Notamacropus eugenii: one gene and its partner. The protein of the gene in region 2 interacts with the protein of the main gene of each other region in a pairwise test. Links are inferred from orthologs where the notes say so. Each region holds a gene or a part of one and is shown on either strand. Other genes may lie near its edges.

Region 1 (7,815 bases), on a different chromosome or scaffold from region 2:
AGCGTAATAAATCTTTACCACCTTAACCTCAACAACACTTGAGTCCATGAATTCTTTTCCAGATGGCCCATGCAGGGAGCGCCAGTCTTGGAGTTCCTGTACTCCTATCTCTCCAGCCCTCATCAATGTTGTATATCTTCTCAATGATCAGGCGAGGGGCAGGAAGCAGGGGGATCAGGAACTGGAGAGGGTGCTTTAGAGGGAAAGGGAGACCTAGTGTAGTATGAAGTTCCCAAGTCAGGGAGTCCTGGGGGACAGTACTGGCTAGGAGCCCAGAAGGTCAAGGTCTTGGGAAGTCGATAGGCAACCCTAGCCATGGGTCCTCCTGGAGTCCCAGCTGAGCAGGACTGGCCCAGAAGGAGTTCCAGGGTCAGGTTAGGGCAGTTAGGGGTGGGGTCTGTGTATCTACCCTGAGAGCTGCCTCCACAGAGGAGAGCAAAGGAGGCAGGGGAACATATTCTGGGCTCCCCCAAGTCCCTGAATGCTGGACAGCCCTCTGGACAGTCTTTAATTCCTTATCTGTTCCTACTCAGCATTTGACTGCTATTCAGTGAGTTGTCTTCAATTTGGACCACATTCGGAGGGTCAATCAATTAATTAGTTAGTCAATAAAGATTTATTAAGTGCTCAGCCACTGTGCTAAGTGCTGGGGATGCAAAAAAGAGGCCAGAGATGATCCCTGCCCTCAAGAACCTCACAATCCAACAAGGGAGATAGTGAGCAAACAGAATATGTTCAAATAAGCTCTATACAGGATAAATAGGAAATAATTAAATGGTAGAAGGCACTAGAATTAGGAGGAGTTGGAAAAGGCTTCCAGTAGAAGATGAGATTTTAATTAGGACTTGAAGGAAGCCAGGGAAGCCAGTACAGGGGTGGAATGGGGGACAGCCAGAAAAAAATGCCCAGAGCTGTGAGCTGGAGCGTCTTGTTGAAAGCAAAGTTAGGTCAGCGTCACTGGATCAAAGTGTGTCAGGAATAAGGTATCAGAAAACTAGAAGGATGGGTGGGAGTGGGCTAGGTTATGAAGGGCTTTGAATAGCAAACAGAGGATTTTATATTTGATTCTGGAGACGATGGGGAGTCACTGAAGTTTATTGAGGACAAGGGTGGCATGGTCAGACCTGCACTTTAGGAAAATCACTTTGGCAGCTGAAAAGAGAGTGGGGAAAGACTTAAGGCAGGCAGATCCACCTGTAATAGTCTAATCATATGGTGATGAGAGTCAGCACTAGGCAGTTCAGAAGAGAAGGGAAGTGTATTGGAGAGAAGTTGAAAAGAAGAAATTGATAAGCCTTGTCAACAGCTTGGAAATGGGGGTGGTGGTGGTAAGTGAGAGATGGGGAGGAATCCAGGATGACTCCAAAGTAGTGAGCCTGAGGGACTGGGAGGATGGTGTCGCCCTCTACATTAATAGGGAAGGTAGTGGGCGGGGAGGGTAGGATTTAGGAGGAAAGCTAATGAGTTCAGTTTTGAACATGTTGAATTTGAGACGTCCGAAAGACAGATGGAGATGTGAGACTGGAGACCATCAGAGAGGTTAAGGCAGAATGGATAGATTTGAGGACCATCAGCATAGATCATAGATCATAGGTCATTAAATCCATGGGAACTAATGAGATCTCCAAGTGAAGTAGATTGGAGGGAGAAGAGGAAAGAGTCTAGGATTGAGCCCAGGAAGACACCCTTAATTACGCAGTGTAACTTGGATGAAAATACAGCAGAGGAGACAGAGAGGGAGAGGTCAGATAGGTAAGAGGAAAACCAGGAGAATGTGGTATCCTGAAAACCTGGTGAAAAGAGTGTCAAAGAGGAGAGAGTGATCAACAGTAACAAAGGCTTCAAAGAGGTCAAGGAGAATGGTGATTGAGAAAAGGCCACTGCATTTAGCAATTAAGAGATCACTGGTGGCTTTGGAGAGAGCAGCTTTAGTTGAATGATGAGGTCAGAAGCTGGATTGTAAAGGGTTAAGAAAAGAATGAGAGTCAAGAAAGTGGAGGACCTATCCTAGAGGCCCTTTCAAGGAGTCTGACCACAAGATCAGAGGAGACAGAGGATGATACTGGGGCTAGAAATCTCAGTTTTTTGAGAATGGAAGAGATATGGGCACCTTTGTATTCAGTAAGGAAGGAGCCTGCAGACAGGGCTACTCAGTCTCTCCTCCCATTCGGGAAGCTGGCTTGACTTGGGTAGCCTGGATTCCAATACTGGATCTGCCATTTACTCTCTGAACCTATCAATTCAACTCCATTTCATCATTTGTAGAATGAGGTAGTTGGGCTAATTATGCGTAAGGTCCCTGCAGCTCTAAATCAAAGAATAAATCTGTCTGTCACTTGGGGCCAACAGTCTGAGGCCCTCCCTTCATCCCTAGTCCCCCCGCTTAAATGTCAGTGCCCATCCGGCTCTAGAGACTACTGGGGTAGGCAGTCTGGAATGAGAATCTCAGTGGTTAGAGCCCCAGTGATTCTGAACAGGGGACCCTCAGGCCCTACACTCCAGAGAGCCCAGAGCCATGAGTCTGGACAGGGAAGCCACCCTCCAATCCATTCATTTTGATTTAATTCATTTGAAGAGACATGTGCTTTGACAGCCAACACAGCAAGAGGCAGGTTGTGACCAGGGGCTGGGGCTGATAGGAAGGGGAGGGGGAGGGCATTTTGATGAGGAAGAGGAGAGGCACAAAGCCCAGGCCAGAACTGAAATAAACACCCAGTCCCTGCCAGAAACTGGGAGGGAAGAAGAGGAGGAGGAGGAGGAGGAGGAGGAAGAGGAGAGGGGAGGGGAAGGAAGGGGAGGGAGAGAAGCGGGGACTTCACTCTTGCAGTTTTTCTGGCTGGAGAACAAGGATCCTTCCATCTCCCAGTCCCTCTGTCCCTCCCTCATCAGGGTTTGGGGTCCCCCTCTCCCAGGCTCACACAGGGCTACATCTTACCGATTTGGGCTTCTTTTTGGGTGCCAGGCTGTCATAGAAAGTCTTGGCTTCCTGCCAGTTTGGTGGTTTCCCTCCAGACTCTGGGGTCCCCAAGGGCCCCCGAGGCCCAGAATCCATGCTGAGGGAGCAGAGGACTCTAGAGGAAGAAGGAGTGAGAATAGCAGAAGAGGAGAGGGAGGGGGGAGAAGGGGAAGAGAGGAGGATGAGGAGAGAAGGCAGGAAGAAAGGAAGGGGAGGAAAAGAAGGGGAGAAGGAGCGGAGAGGGAGCTGAAGAGGAAGGTGGACAAACCCTGGTCCAGACCCAAAGCCAGCTGCTCTGTCCCGGGGAATGGCTAAGAAGGTTGTTCAGTAGCAAAGCAGCCTGTGGTGACAGGAGGGAGGGAGAGAGGGAGGAGCTGCTTTATTTGTGGGGGGCGGGACCCGGGCGCTTGCGCACCCAACAGGGGGTGGGGGGCGGGGATGGGGGTGGGCTGGGGGGTTGTCTCCTCCTTGGTGGGCTCCAGCCTCCTCTCATCCTGCAGTAGGAGATAGGTAAGGGCATATATAATGCAGAAACACACATGGATTGCAGGGATATACACATAAACATGTGCCCATATGCACACATAGAGACACAGGACACATCTATGTATCGTGTTAGTACATGCACTTTCAAGAATATGTGTGCAATGCAAGATACACACATGTACTATATACATGTACATGTATATAATCTCCATACATTTGTAGGCACACACAATCTATATGGCTGTAAAGCTGCAAGGCTAACCTCCTGCCCCTCTCTCCCCCTCGGGAACCTGGAGCTGTTCTAATCTGGGCAGCTGAAGGACCCCCCTTCCACACTCTCACCCTATCCTTCCAAGGACATGCGTCCTTCCCAGCCTGAGAGGACAGCTGAGGGGAGGGGGAGGCAGAGGGAGGGGCAGAAGGAGAGGGAATTGGAGGCTCAGAACCCTAAATCTAGAGCCTCCAGGGAGGTGGGGGAAATCCTCAGAAGGGGAAAACTGATTTTGCAAAGAAGAGGGAAAGGAGAGAGCCAGCTGAGGAATATATTTTAGCTGTCGCCCTCTCCCCACCTTGCCGGGCAACACAAGGGCCTCTGGCCTGTGTCCCGGGGAACTGGCAGAAGCAGCTGGGGGTGGGGGTGGACCCAGTCAGAGGGGTGTCTGGACAGAGCTGAACCCTGGGATCTGAGCCCAGGAGAGTAGCACTAAAGGACTGTAGCTTTTTAAAGCCTGGTGTGGAGGGCACAGCCATAAACCCACGTTCTAGGCCTGGCTCTGTTACTAGCTCCCTCTGTAACTCCCAAGTCCTTTCCATGCTGGGCTTCAACGTCCTTATTTCTGGTATGGGACTTTTCAGATCACTTGACATCTCTGGCCTCTGAAAGCCAACCTGCTGGACCACCTTCTCAGCCAGGCGCGACCCCTTGTAACTGATAAAAGAGAATGAACTGCTGACTTCTTCTGAGCCAGGAACCTCCAAACTTCCCTCCCTTCTGGGTCCAGCCACTTGCAAGGTCTATGGAGACCTCACGTGAAATCTGCCCCAGGATTAGAGGATTTAGAGTGGAAAGGACCTTAAAAAGCATTTAATTCACCCCCTTCATTTGACAGATGAGGACACTGAAGCTCACCAAGGAAGGATGGAAACAAGCATTTATTAAGCACCTACTGTATGCCAGGCATTGGGCTAAGAGCTTTACAAATGTTATCTCATTTGACCCTCACAACAACTCTGGGAAGTGGATATTATTATTATCCTCATTTAACAGTTGAGGAAACTAAGGCATGTGTGTTAGTCTTTTGTTACTGAAGAGGACCATGCCATTAGAGAAATGATGACATGACTTGAACTTTACTTTGTTTTGAGTGAGGGAGGGCTGTGCAGGTCACCAGCCTCACTTCTCCTCCAGAGCCATCTGAATCCAGTGACCAGATATTCATCAGGATGACTGGAGATGACCCAGGATGAGGCAATTGGGTTAAGTGACTTGCCCAAGGTCATACAGCTAGTGAGTGTCAAGTGTCTGAGGTGAGATTTGAACTCAGGTCCTCCTGACTCCTGCACTGGTGCTCTATCTACTGCACTACCCAAAGAATTAGAACCAAAAGGAAAAACCATGAGAAAGAAAAAATAGCAAAAGAGAAAATTGTATATGTCAATCTGCATTCATATTCCATAGTTCTTTCTCTGCATGTGGATGGCATTTTCTATCATGAGCCTTTTGGAGTTGCCTTAGATCCTCGTTTTACTGAGAAGAGCTAAGTCTATCAAAGTTGATTACCACCCAATGTTGCTGTTACTGTGTACAATGTTCTCCTGGTTCTGCTCACTTCACTCAGCATCAGTTCACATAAATCTTTCCAGTGAACCTTGTATTTCACCAACAGCCCAGCACAGGACCCACACACAGTAAGCATTGAATACATATGTGTTCATTTGACATTTACAAGTTGTGTAACCTTGAGTAAGCTATTTTTTCCTTTCTCAGTTTTCTCCTTCGTAAAGTGAATGAATGAAAAAAGGTTTAACAGAGCTCTTACTATGTGTCAGACATTGTGCTAAACCTTAGGAGTTACAAATACAAAAAGCAAGGTATCCTCTGGACTCAAGGAGGTTACATGCTAATGGAGAAGACCACCTCCAGGAGTCTGATGACCAGAGAGTCATGTTTTGGCCTGGGAAGTTGCAGGGATGGTGAGGAATTGGACAGTTCCTTCCAGGAATTGTAGTGACCCATAATGTTCCCAGACCAAAAGGTGGGAAGGAATGGAAGGAATGCCTCGCTGCTGGGGGGAATAATACTTTCACCTGATAGGACTGGTAGGAGGACAGCTTTCAGGGCCTATCTTTATCTGCTCTAAATTTCATTCAACAAGCACTTACGATATGCCTACTACATGCTAGGCACTGTGTATGCCAGGTACTATGAATACAAAGATGAAAATGAAATTTCCTGATGCCAAGAGGCTTACGTTCTCCTGGTGTAAAGGTTATGGCTAGATTGTCCAGGGGTGTGGCGACCCTTCTCTCCCCCCAGAAGAGGGGAGTTTGCTGGAGGAGGGATGAACCACCCCTCCCATACCCCTCTCTCTCCTCAGAGAAACTTGGCCACACACAGGCCAAGTATATTTGTTGGAGCTAATGCTATTTACTATATGGAGGATATTAGGCATGTACCTTCCCATCTCAATCTTTGCTCTATAAATACAAAGAATTCTCAGTTCCAAAGTGATTTGAAGTTTAACAATGACTTTCCTCACAACAATCCTTCAAGGCCCAGCTTGAGAGTCTGGCAAGAGAGAAGGGTACCCCCTCTTGTAATCACTCAGGGTTTCAGCTGGGTCTCTCACCCTCCCTTCCTAAGGTCATAAGGGATGGCAGACAGGGCAATCTCTCCTCCAGGAAACCATCCATCAAAGTAGGAGAGCAGTTAGTAATGGCTTTTCCCACCCTGGTGCTGAAGGGAAGGTGAGTTGGAATCCTCTGCCCACAACAGGTCAGAGGCCTCTCAGCTGGGTGTCTGCCAGCTCACCTATTCTCAATCCTCAGTCGTCTCCCCACCCCATCTTAATTGCTTCCTGCCCGTGAGAGGCTCTTGCCCTCTGAGAGTCCTTGGTGAAGCAATTGGAAAACAAGCCAACTCCATCCCATTTCCATCTCCAGCCTCAGGGAACATAGGTGTTGGGTCAGGCCACTAAGCTGGAGAGAGAAGAAAGGAGGCGTGGAGAGCAGAGCAGATGGCATTCTCCACTCATGCTCTTAGGAGCTTTGGAGGTAGAAGAGGTTTCAGAGGACATCTAGCCCAATTCCCCATTTTACAGATGAGAAGATTCTGTGGGGCTCTCAGGATTCCAGACTGTCAGTCCTAGAAGACACTCTTGAGATAATAATTTTACAGATGGGAAAAATGAGCCCTAAAAGAGGGAAGGAACTTGCCCAAGGTAGTGCAGCAAGTCTTCAAATGTTTGGGTCTTATTGCTCTGTACACTATACACTGATGTCTCCTATCTCCTTTCATTGCACAAATACTAAGTACTTGTAACAGGTTGAGAATGACCTACTCATTTTTCTCTTTTGATTCTTTCTTTTCTTTCCTTTTTTTTTGGAGGGGGGAAGGCAGAACCTACTCATTTTTACAGAGAAGTTAACTGGTACAAAAAGGCACAAAAAGAAATTGTGACTCGGCTTAGCACAAATCTAGATGGAATTAATGTGACGGGATATTTCACTGCAAGGGGATTTGATTAGATTTCACCCTCTAGGACTGACTCAAGAGTGAGCCTGAGGAGAAGGCTGGGGGTGTGTGAACAGGGATTGGACCAGACCAGTGTTGTGAGGTAACCTCAAATCAGCCTTCTCCCTTCCTTCTGTCCCTTTGCTACTTTGCCAAAGCCCCCTCCCTTTGTTCCCCAGACACCCTAACACTGTCCATTTCCTGCCACCATCCCTCTAAGCTCATGGTCTCTCCCACTGTAAGAGTTAAAGATTTTCCCTTCCCATTAATAAGCCTCAGATGGAGCCCACTAAGGGAAGCCTGATTAGGGGAGGCTTGTTTTGTAGGAAGGCTCACACCTTTTGTTAGTTGTTAATGAGGCATTGAGTCCTGAGGGTTGTGCCCTCTGGCTCTGAAAAGTGTATATATACTCTGGGTTGAAGTTTTGCTTTGGGGTTTACTCTTTGGGAGAAGGTTCGAGTGCCAGATGAGGCTCTGGGTAGCCATTAGGGAGCCCCCAGCTTTGAAAACCCAGATGTTGGTGCTTGCTGTCCCTGGTAATGATGCATGTATGTAATGGTTGGATCTGTCTGTTGATCTGTGATGTATGTATTACTTACGGTCCGACAGTTAGAAGCCCTGTCTGTTGGTCTTTATTTCT
Region 2 (7,284 bases):
AGAAGCTGGATTAGATTGATAGTGGTGAAAATAAAAAGCTGTGGTTAGATATGGGAGATATTGTAGAAGTAGAATCACTGGGATTTTGCGACTAATTGGATATGAAAGGTGAGAGAGAGGGAATAATCAAAGATACTACCAAGGTTTTGAATACAGGACAATAGGTGAATAGTGGTGCTACTGACAGAACTGGTGAAACCCAAAGAAAAAGCAAGTTTTGATGAATAGATAAACTCAGCTTTGGAGGAGGTGAGTTTGAAGTACTAGGGAGGCATTCAGATGAGGAATATCCTGCCGGAATGGGGAAAAGCGAATCTGAGACCTTGAGAGAGGTCAAAGCTGGAGGCCTTATGGTTTCAGAGACTATCTGTATTAAGGTGATAATTGAAATCATGGGAGCTAATGACATTTTTAAGGGACAAAGTAAAGAACAAAGGACTGATAAAATCTTTTGAGATCCAAGAGAGGCTAAGGAGTCAGCAAAGGAGGAGAAAAAGAAGATATGGTTGGAGGGGTAATGCCAAATGAAAGAGTGAGGTCAAAGAACATGAGAACTGGGGTAAAGATGATTTGATGTCACTGGTGTGCTTAAAATAGTTTTAGTAGAGAAGGAATAGAAGCCTTGTTGACAGGGATTGAGAAGAGAGTGGGTAATAAAGAAGTGCAATTGGAAGAATTGAGTTCTTCAAGACTACTTCAAGAAATTCCTACTTGCTTGGGGGAGTAGGGTCAAGGAAAGGGCTTCTTTTGGGAATGAGGAGACCTAGATATATTTGTATCTACATAGGAAGAAGTCAGTGAAGCATGAGAGATAACAGACTCAAACAGAGAATGGATGATTTTTTTATACCCAATATTCCTTTCCTTAAATTACCATGAATGCTAAGAGATTTTCACTTTTTGCCAAAGTTTTCTAGGTTTCTATTTCACTATTCAGATTTTCCTTGTTGATTACAATTAGTGGCAAAATAGCAGTTTTCTTCACTGTATTCTCAGTACTACACTAACCCTCTGCTTGGTTTCCCCATATGCTCTTCCATTTCAATGCCTAGTCATCACTCCAGATTAGGCATTTTAACATTTACCCTTCAAGAATATCAATACCTTACTATAATATTGAGTGGGATAGGTTTAGTGAAGACTTCTCAGATTGTAATTCTTCTCCCAGGGGTGAGGTAAGACCTAGAGGCTCAAGGTTACAATATTTTTAGAATAGAATAGTTCCATATAAGGATATAAAACTGTGTAGTATATTAGGGTCTCAATGATTGGATAAAACTTACATAATTCCTCGATGTCTTCATTTCAAAAGGGATTGGTTAGATTTTGTGTCTAGAATGTAAGATCATATTCTCAGCTAATGAGGATAATGGTCAGTGGGGGAGGAGGGACTTGCGTTAGGGTCTATATAAATCACTGCCTTTTCTTTGTCTTTGTCTTTCCTACTCCAGATGAACTGGTGTAGGATTGTCCCGATTCTCGAGAATCTAGTAAATAAACTTTCTGTCATCACTTTGAGAGGCCTCTGAGTAACTGATTTAAGTAGGGACCTGAGCCATCCCACACAATATCAAGTCAAACTTCTCATTTCCTAGAATTCAAGTTTTTCCTTAGAGGCTCTAATTCTTATCAATCTGACTTAATCTCCCACTTTTTTTGGAGGGATCCAAAACTGTAATTTCACATCTTTGATAATTCTTGGCAACTAGAACTCACTGATGCAGATTGGAATAATTTTGTAACTTATAGGCTAAAGTGTGTGGACACAGGCCTTCCAAGGTAAAGTGACTCTCCCATCCATGGTCACATTGCTGGTATATGTCAGAGACAGATCTTAGACCCAGGTCTTTCTGACTCCTCTATTAAATCTCTATCCAGTAAGTCACATTGTCTCTCATTTCCCTTGGTTCCCACTTTCTAGTTTTCATAGCACTTTCTTTACAACAGCCAGATAAGGTGGGTAGTACAGTTATTATTATCCACATTGTTTTTTTTTTTTTTTAGAAAAGGGTAGCTTGTAAGTACCAGCACTTTGATCATATTGACTTTTTCCCAGTTTTTTTGTCCCTTTAGCAATCTGAATGGAGTGTGGAACTATCTTTTTTCTTAAAGTTAGCAGCCTAAAGACTAGTATCTCTTTTCTCATAAGTTCTCATCAATGCTTTCCGTGATATAGGTAAGGAGTATTGAATAATTAATCTCCACCAACGAAGAAAGACTTACACTAATGACTTTGAGCCACGTTACTTTATCAAAACATTTTGTTTTAAGAAAATTTCAACAAACTCCTCATATAATTTAAGAAAACCCCCCAAACCAGTCCCCCCAAATATTAAGAAAAATAATACCAAAAAGTACAAGATTGGACAAGCAGCCATGCACTTGTTTGCCATTTTAAAAAAGAAAGGGGAGATGCATGCTGCTACTGACAGAACTGGTAAAACCCAAAGAAAGAGCAAGTTTTGATGAATAGACAAGGAGGAGGTGAGTTTGAAGTGCTAGGGAGGCATTCAGGTGAGGAATATCCTATAGGCATTTGGAAAAGTGAGTCTGTGATCTTGAAAGAGGTCATAGTTAGAGGTATTATGGTTTCAGGAGCCATCTGAATCAAGTTGATAAATGAAATCATGGGAGTTAATAACATTACCAAGGGAGAGAGTAAGGGTCAGTTTTCTAGACAGGAATCTCAGGGTTCAAGCTCTCTCTATGACACATACTAGCTATGTGACCATCTGTCCATTTCAGTGACCATCAGTAAGTCACTTATACTCAGCGAAACAGGAAATTTTCTAAGATTATAAACATACATTTTTGTAGAGGAGTGGCCAGTCTGAATATGTGGAAGGAGTTTCCACACTAACAGTTTAGCACATTGATGAAATCATTGGTTTAGATAGAAAAAAGAAAGAAAAGTAGCTTATGTACTGACTTAGCACCTCCCCCCCCCCAAAAGATGGGAGGGCCCCCAGCATCTGTGTGCTTCAATTTTGATATGGCAATAATACCAATATTTACTTTCATATTTATCTGAGATTTGTTGCTCTTTAATGTCTTTGTTTATTTCATTGAAGTTAGAATGTTTATTTTCCTTTGATTTTGCTTTATTTTGTATAGATTCAGTTTGAATATTTCACCATTTCTTCAAACTGGCAAATTCCTTATGGCTACGGAATCCACATACATCCACATGCCACAATTTATTAAATCACAAAGCTTGTGTCCAGCTTTTTAGCTATTACAAATAGTTCTGGTACGAATATTTTTGCAGATTGGTCTTTTCCTACCAATTACTACCCCAGGTTAAAAGCCTAATAGTGGGTTTGTTGGATTAAAGAGTACAAAATTTTTTGTTACTTTTATTGTATAATTCTATATTTCTTTCCAAAATTCTTAGTAAATTCATAGCTCCATTAGCAGTGAATTTTTAGATTGTCAATTTTCCAAAGTCTTGCCAGCAACTGATTTAAAAAAAAATTACTATTTATGTGAATTTGATGTCTTTTAAAGTGACACTTAAGAATTAAGCTAATTTGTATTTTTATTATTCATTCAAATTACTTGTGTTGAAGTGGACATTATTTCCCCTCCCCCCCTAGAGCCCCTGGGTTGAGAAATGTCTGTTGAGTTTCTAGGCAGGGTTGGGCCTAGTAGCCACTTACTATTAGTGGCTACACTTTCTGTTGTACCCCTTTGCCTAGCAGCTGCCTGGGCCCCCCTCTCTGTTGTACCCCTTTGCCTAGCAGCTGCCTGGGCCCCCCTCTCTGTTGTACCCCTTTGCCTAGCAGCTGCCTGGGCCCCCATCTCTGTTGTACCCCTTTGCCTAGCAGCTGCTTGGGCCCCCCTCTCTGTTGTGCCCCCTTGCCTAGCAGTACCTAGGAACCCCTGTCAAAACTGTTCTGTGAAAAATGTGAGCTACTGGAACCATAAGGCTGTACCGGGAGGTGCTAAGATGCTTAAAAGGCACACACACCTTTGTTCAGGGCTGCCACCTTTGTGGACAGCCACTGGCTAAGACACTCCCAAATTCTCAATTAACTCTTGCCTGTGCTTGTCTCGGTCTGTCCATTTCAGTGTGAACTTATGTTTCTTTTGAAAAATGCCTATTCAGTTGCATATACTCTCAGACTTGATTGATGTGCTGGTGAGTTTTTCTAAATTGCTTTTTTTCCCTAAGTTCTCTCTTTTTATTCATCTTTTAAAAAACTGTTATAGGGAATGACTCAAGGGAGAGGAGGAAAGATAGCAGGAATATATTTGGTAATGAAGGTGATATAAAAATTAAAGATACCAATAAAGTAAAATAAAAGGAAAAGGCCTGTTCACAGCCCTTGACCACTTATCTATCAGGAGGAATTTCTCCTAACCTTATAAATCTATGCCAGTCCCTATAGATTTTACATGTCAGACTTTCAGCAGAAACGTTTAATTGCAAAAATTTTCCCCCTACTCTGTAGTTCAATCTGTTTATGTGCATGGTTATAACTGGTAAGTGTGCTTTTCCCTCCTCCACATCCTGTTGCTTGTTAAGTCTGCTTTTTCAGTCAGATCACTAGTATCATTCTCTTAGAATGATCATAGACTCTCCATACCCTCACATCTCTTCCTATAACCTCAAGATTCTGGGATTCTACTTTTATTGATAGAATCTTTTCAAAACTCCTCATGCCCTTTCTCTAGTTCAGATAGAAAGGTGTTTTAAAATGTTTCCCTCTATTCTCATTCTTCTGTTTCTCTGTTGTTTTGTTCTTTATCCGTGGCCCCCATATTCAAGGTACAACATTTTTCCTCTTTCCTCATTTTATTACTTCTTTTTGATTCCTTAAGCATTTTAAAAGTGTCTACGTTGTCCAAGGAACTAAGTGTTGGGGATATAAAGACAAAACAGTGCCAAAGGGAGACTAGACTAAAGATGAAACATACCATATGGTTTGAAGGAAGTGAAGATGTTTAGTCTATGGAAGAAGGTAAAGCCAGGGGAAAAGGATAATTGTCCTTTCAACTCTGTAAGTTTAGAAGTGAAGAGGCCTGGCTGGACTACATTTCATTTGATAAGGACTTCACAAGCACATTCAGTATGATCTGACTCTCTAACCTGGCAGCCAGAATCTCAGGTTGCATTGACAGAGGAAGTCTCCAGGTCAAAGAAGTGAGTAGTCCCACTGAACTCTGCCCTAGGCTTAGATGTATGGAGTATAGGTTTAGTTTGGGGTGTTCCATTTTGGGTGAAGACACTGACAAGCAGAAACATGTGCAAAAGAGGAAAACGAGAATGATGATAGAATTTGTGATGGGGGCTGGAACTGCACCTGTAATATCATTGGAGTAGGGAAATTGTCAGGTGAGGAAATTCCCTCTACCAATGCAAGTTGCTTGTCGTTGGATTTCCCAGTAAGGAGGGTCATAATTGTGTCAGAGCTGATGCTCCTTCCACTATTGTTAGAATTACTAATTAATAATAGAAATTATTAGAATGTAATCTTGTAAGTAGGGATTGTTTCATTCATTGTGATGGCATTTTAAGTTAGTCAATTAGCACTTTGTGGTAGGCATGGTGCTAAAGGATAGGGATGTAAAGAAAGTCAAAAGACAATCCCTGATCTCAAGGAACTCATGATCTAGAGAGAGACGACATGCAAAGAGGGGCAACTGGTGGTGCAGGAAACAGAGCAGTCAGGAAGGCCTCAGACATTTATTGGTTGTGTGACTTTGGGCAAATCACTTAACCCTGTTTGCCTCAGTTTCCTCCTCTGTAAAGTGGCAGACCACTCCAATATCTTTGTCAAGAAAACTCCGAATGGGGGTCAAGAAAAGTCAGACATGACTGAAATGAGTGACACATGCAAACAACTATGTACAAGGCATATTCAGGATAAAGGTAGGGTAGTCCCAGAGGGAAAGCTCCACAGGGAGGCCTGGGAAAGGCCTTCTGCAGCAGGAGTGATTTTTAGCTGAAACTTGAAGGAAACCCAGGGAGGCCAGGAAGGGATTGGGGGGATGAGGTGCAAACGCAAGAAAAGCCCTATGTAGAGGAGCATAAGCCTAGAGCTCTATAGGCCACAAAGCCAGGGACTATTTTTCTAAGAAACAAATCCCTTCCTCAGCAGAGTCAAAAGTTCAGTAAAAAAAAAAGTCCAGTCAAGACATCTCTGCCCCGCCCCTCTAACTCCGCCCCTAACGAGACCCCGCCCCTTCCTCACCGTTCCCGCCCCCAAGCAACAACCTGCCCCCCCGCTCAGGCCTTCCAAGCCCCGCCCCCCACGCTTCCGCTAAGACCTCCTCAGACCCGCCCCTCGGGCCCCGCCCCCTCGGCTCCGCGGCCCCGCCCCTCCGCGGCCTCCGCCTCAGCGTCCGCCTCTTATTAGGCTGTCCCCTTTCCCAGGCTTTCGCACCGCGCTTCCTCGGCCTGTTGAAGGAGGGCGAAGGGACAGCCGGGCGTATTCGGCCCGGGCTTGCCCGCCCGCCCGCCCGCCATGGAAGGAGAGGGATCCGTTTCCCGAGGCTACCAGCCAGCCAGCCCGCCCCGGGACGCCTGCACCTACAGCAGCTGCTACTGGTAAGGGGCCCGAGCCCCGCCCCCGCCCCCGCCCCGGACCGGCCTAGGTCTGTCGTAGGCGCCTTCCCTGGGCCCGGCCCTGCGCCGCCCTGGCCCCGCCCCTGGCCCCGGGCACCCCCGAGCTTCTCCGCGCTCGGCCCGGGCGTGGCTTCGGGTTCTGCGGAGAGGCTTCTAGGCCCCGGAGCCGAAGCTCATCCAGGCCAGCCCCCGCTCCCTACCACCCTTTCGTCTTACAGATGGGGAAACTGAGGCTGGGAGCGCTCGCCTTCCCTTCATTCAGTAACGGGAGGGGGACTCGGATCCCAGCGGCCGAGGTGGCTGCTAACCAGGACGGAGTCAGGATTTGAATCCAGGGCTAACGGCTCCAGAGCTCTGGTGGTTCTCCCTGCTGGCGACGACAGTAACTCTTTCCGGGTAGAGAGATGGAGCTGGGAGGGACGGGCTGTTTCATGGCAGGGCCTTATCGTAAATATAACTTGCGGGCGGCGAGGCGCCGAGAATACTTAGAATAAATGATACCTTTGTAATCAGGTGAGTATGGGAAATGAGGGCCACCCTAGGAGCTGATCCTGGTCATTAAGCACTCATTAGACTAATGAGGCGGTAAGTGGAGCCCTAGAATTGCATTCTGGAAGACAGGGATTTCGGTCCATTCACCGACTCTTACTGGTTTAGGCAAATTGGGTCTTTAGTTACTTGTCCCAGAAATGGGTAATACTCTTACTAAGGCT

The links.
Region 1: the proteins of NTAQ1 (region 2) and NT5C1A interact in binary tests that used the Homo sapiens proteins (3 or more experiments, as listed by UniProt). The two-hybrid records come from large-scale screens. The link is inferred for Notamacropus eugenii from reciprocal best matches to the Homo sapiens genes NTAQ1 and NT5C1A.

What each region holds. Positions count from the first base shown.
Region 1 is NC_092876.1:79,437,183-79,444,997, reverse strand, and holds the start of NT5C1A (cytosolic 5'-nucleotidase 1A), read right to left. Parts: upstream 3,297-7,815; 5' UTR 3,053-3,296; coding exon 2,936-3,052; intron 1-2,935.
Region 2 is NC_092875.1:120,994,040-121,001,323, reverse strand, and holds the start of NTAQ1 (protein N-terminal glutamine amidohydrolase), read left to right. Parts: upstream 1-3,972; 5' UTR 3,973-4,141; intron 4,142-5,013; 5' UTR 5,014-5,146; intron 5,147-6,304; exon of another isoform or gene 6,305-6,379; 5' UTR 6,380-6,470; coding exon 6,471-6,553; intron 6,554-6,653; exon of another isoform or gene 6,654-7,084; intron 7,085-7,284. UniProt on the Homo sapiens protein: Mediates the side-chain deamidation of N-terminal glutamine residues to glutamate, an important step in N-end rule pathway of protein degradation.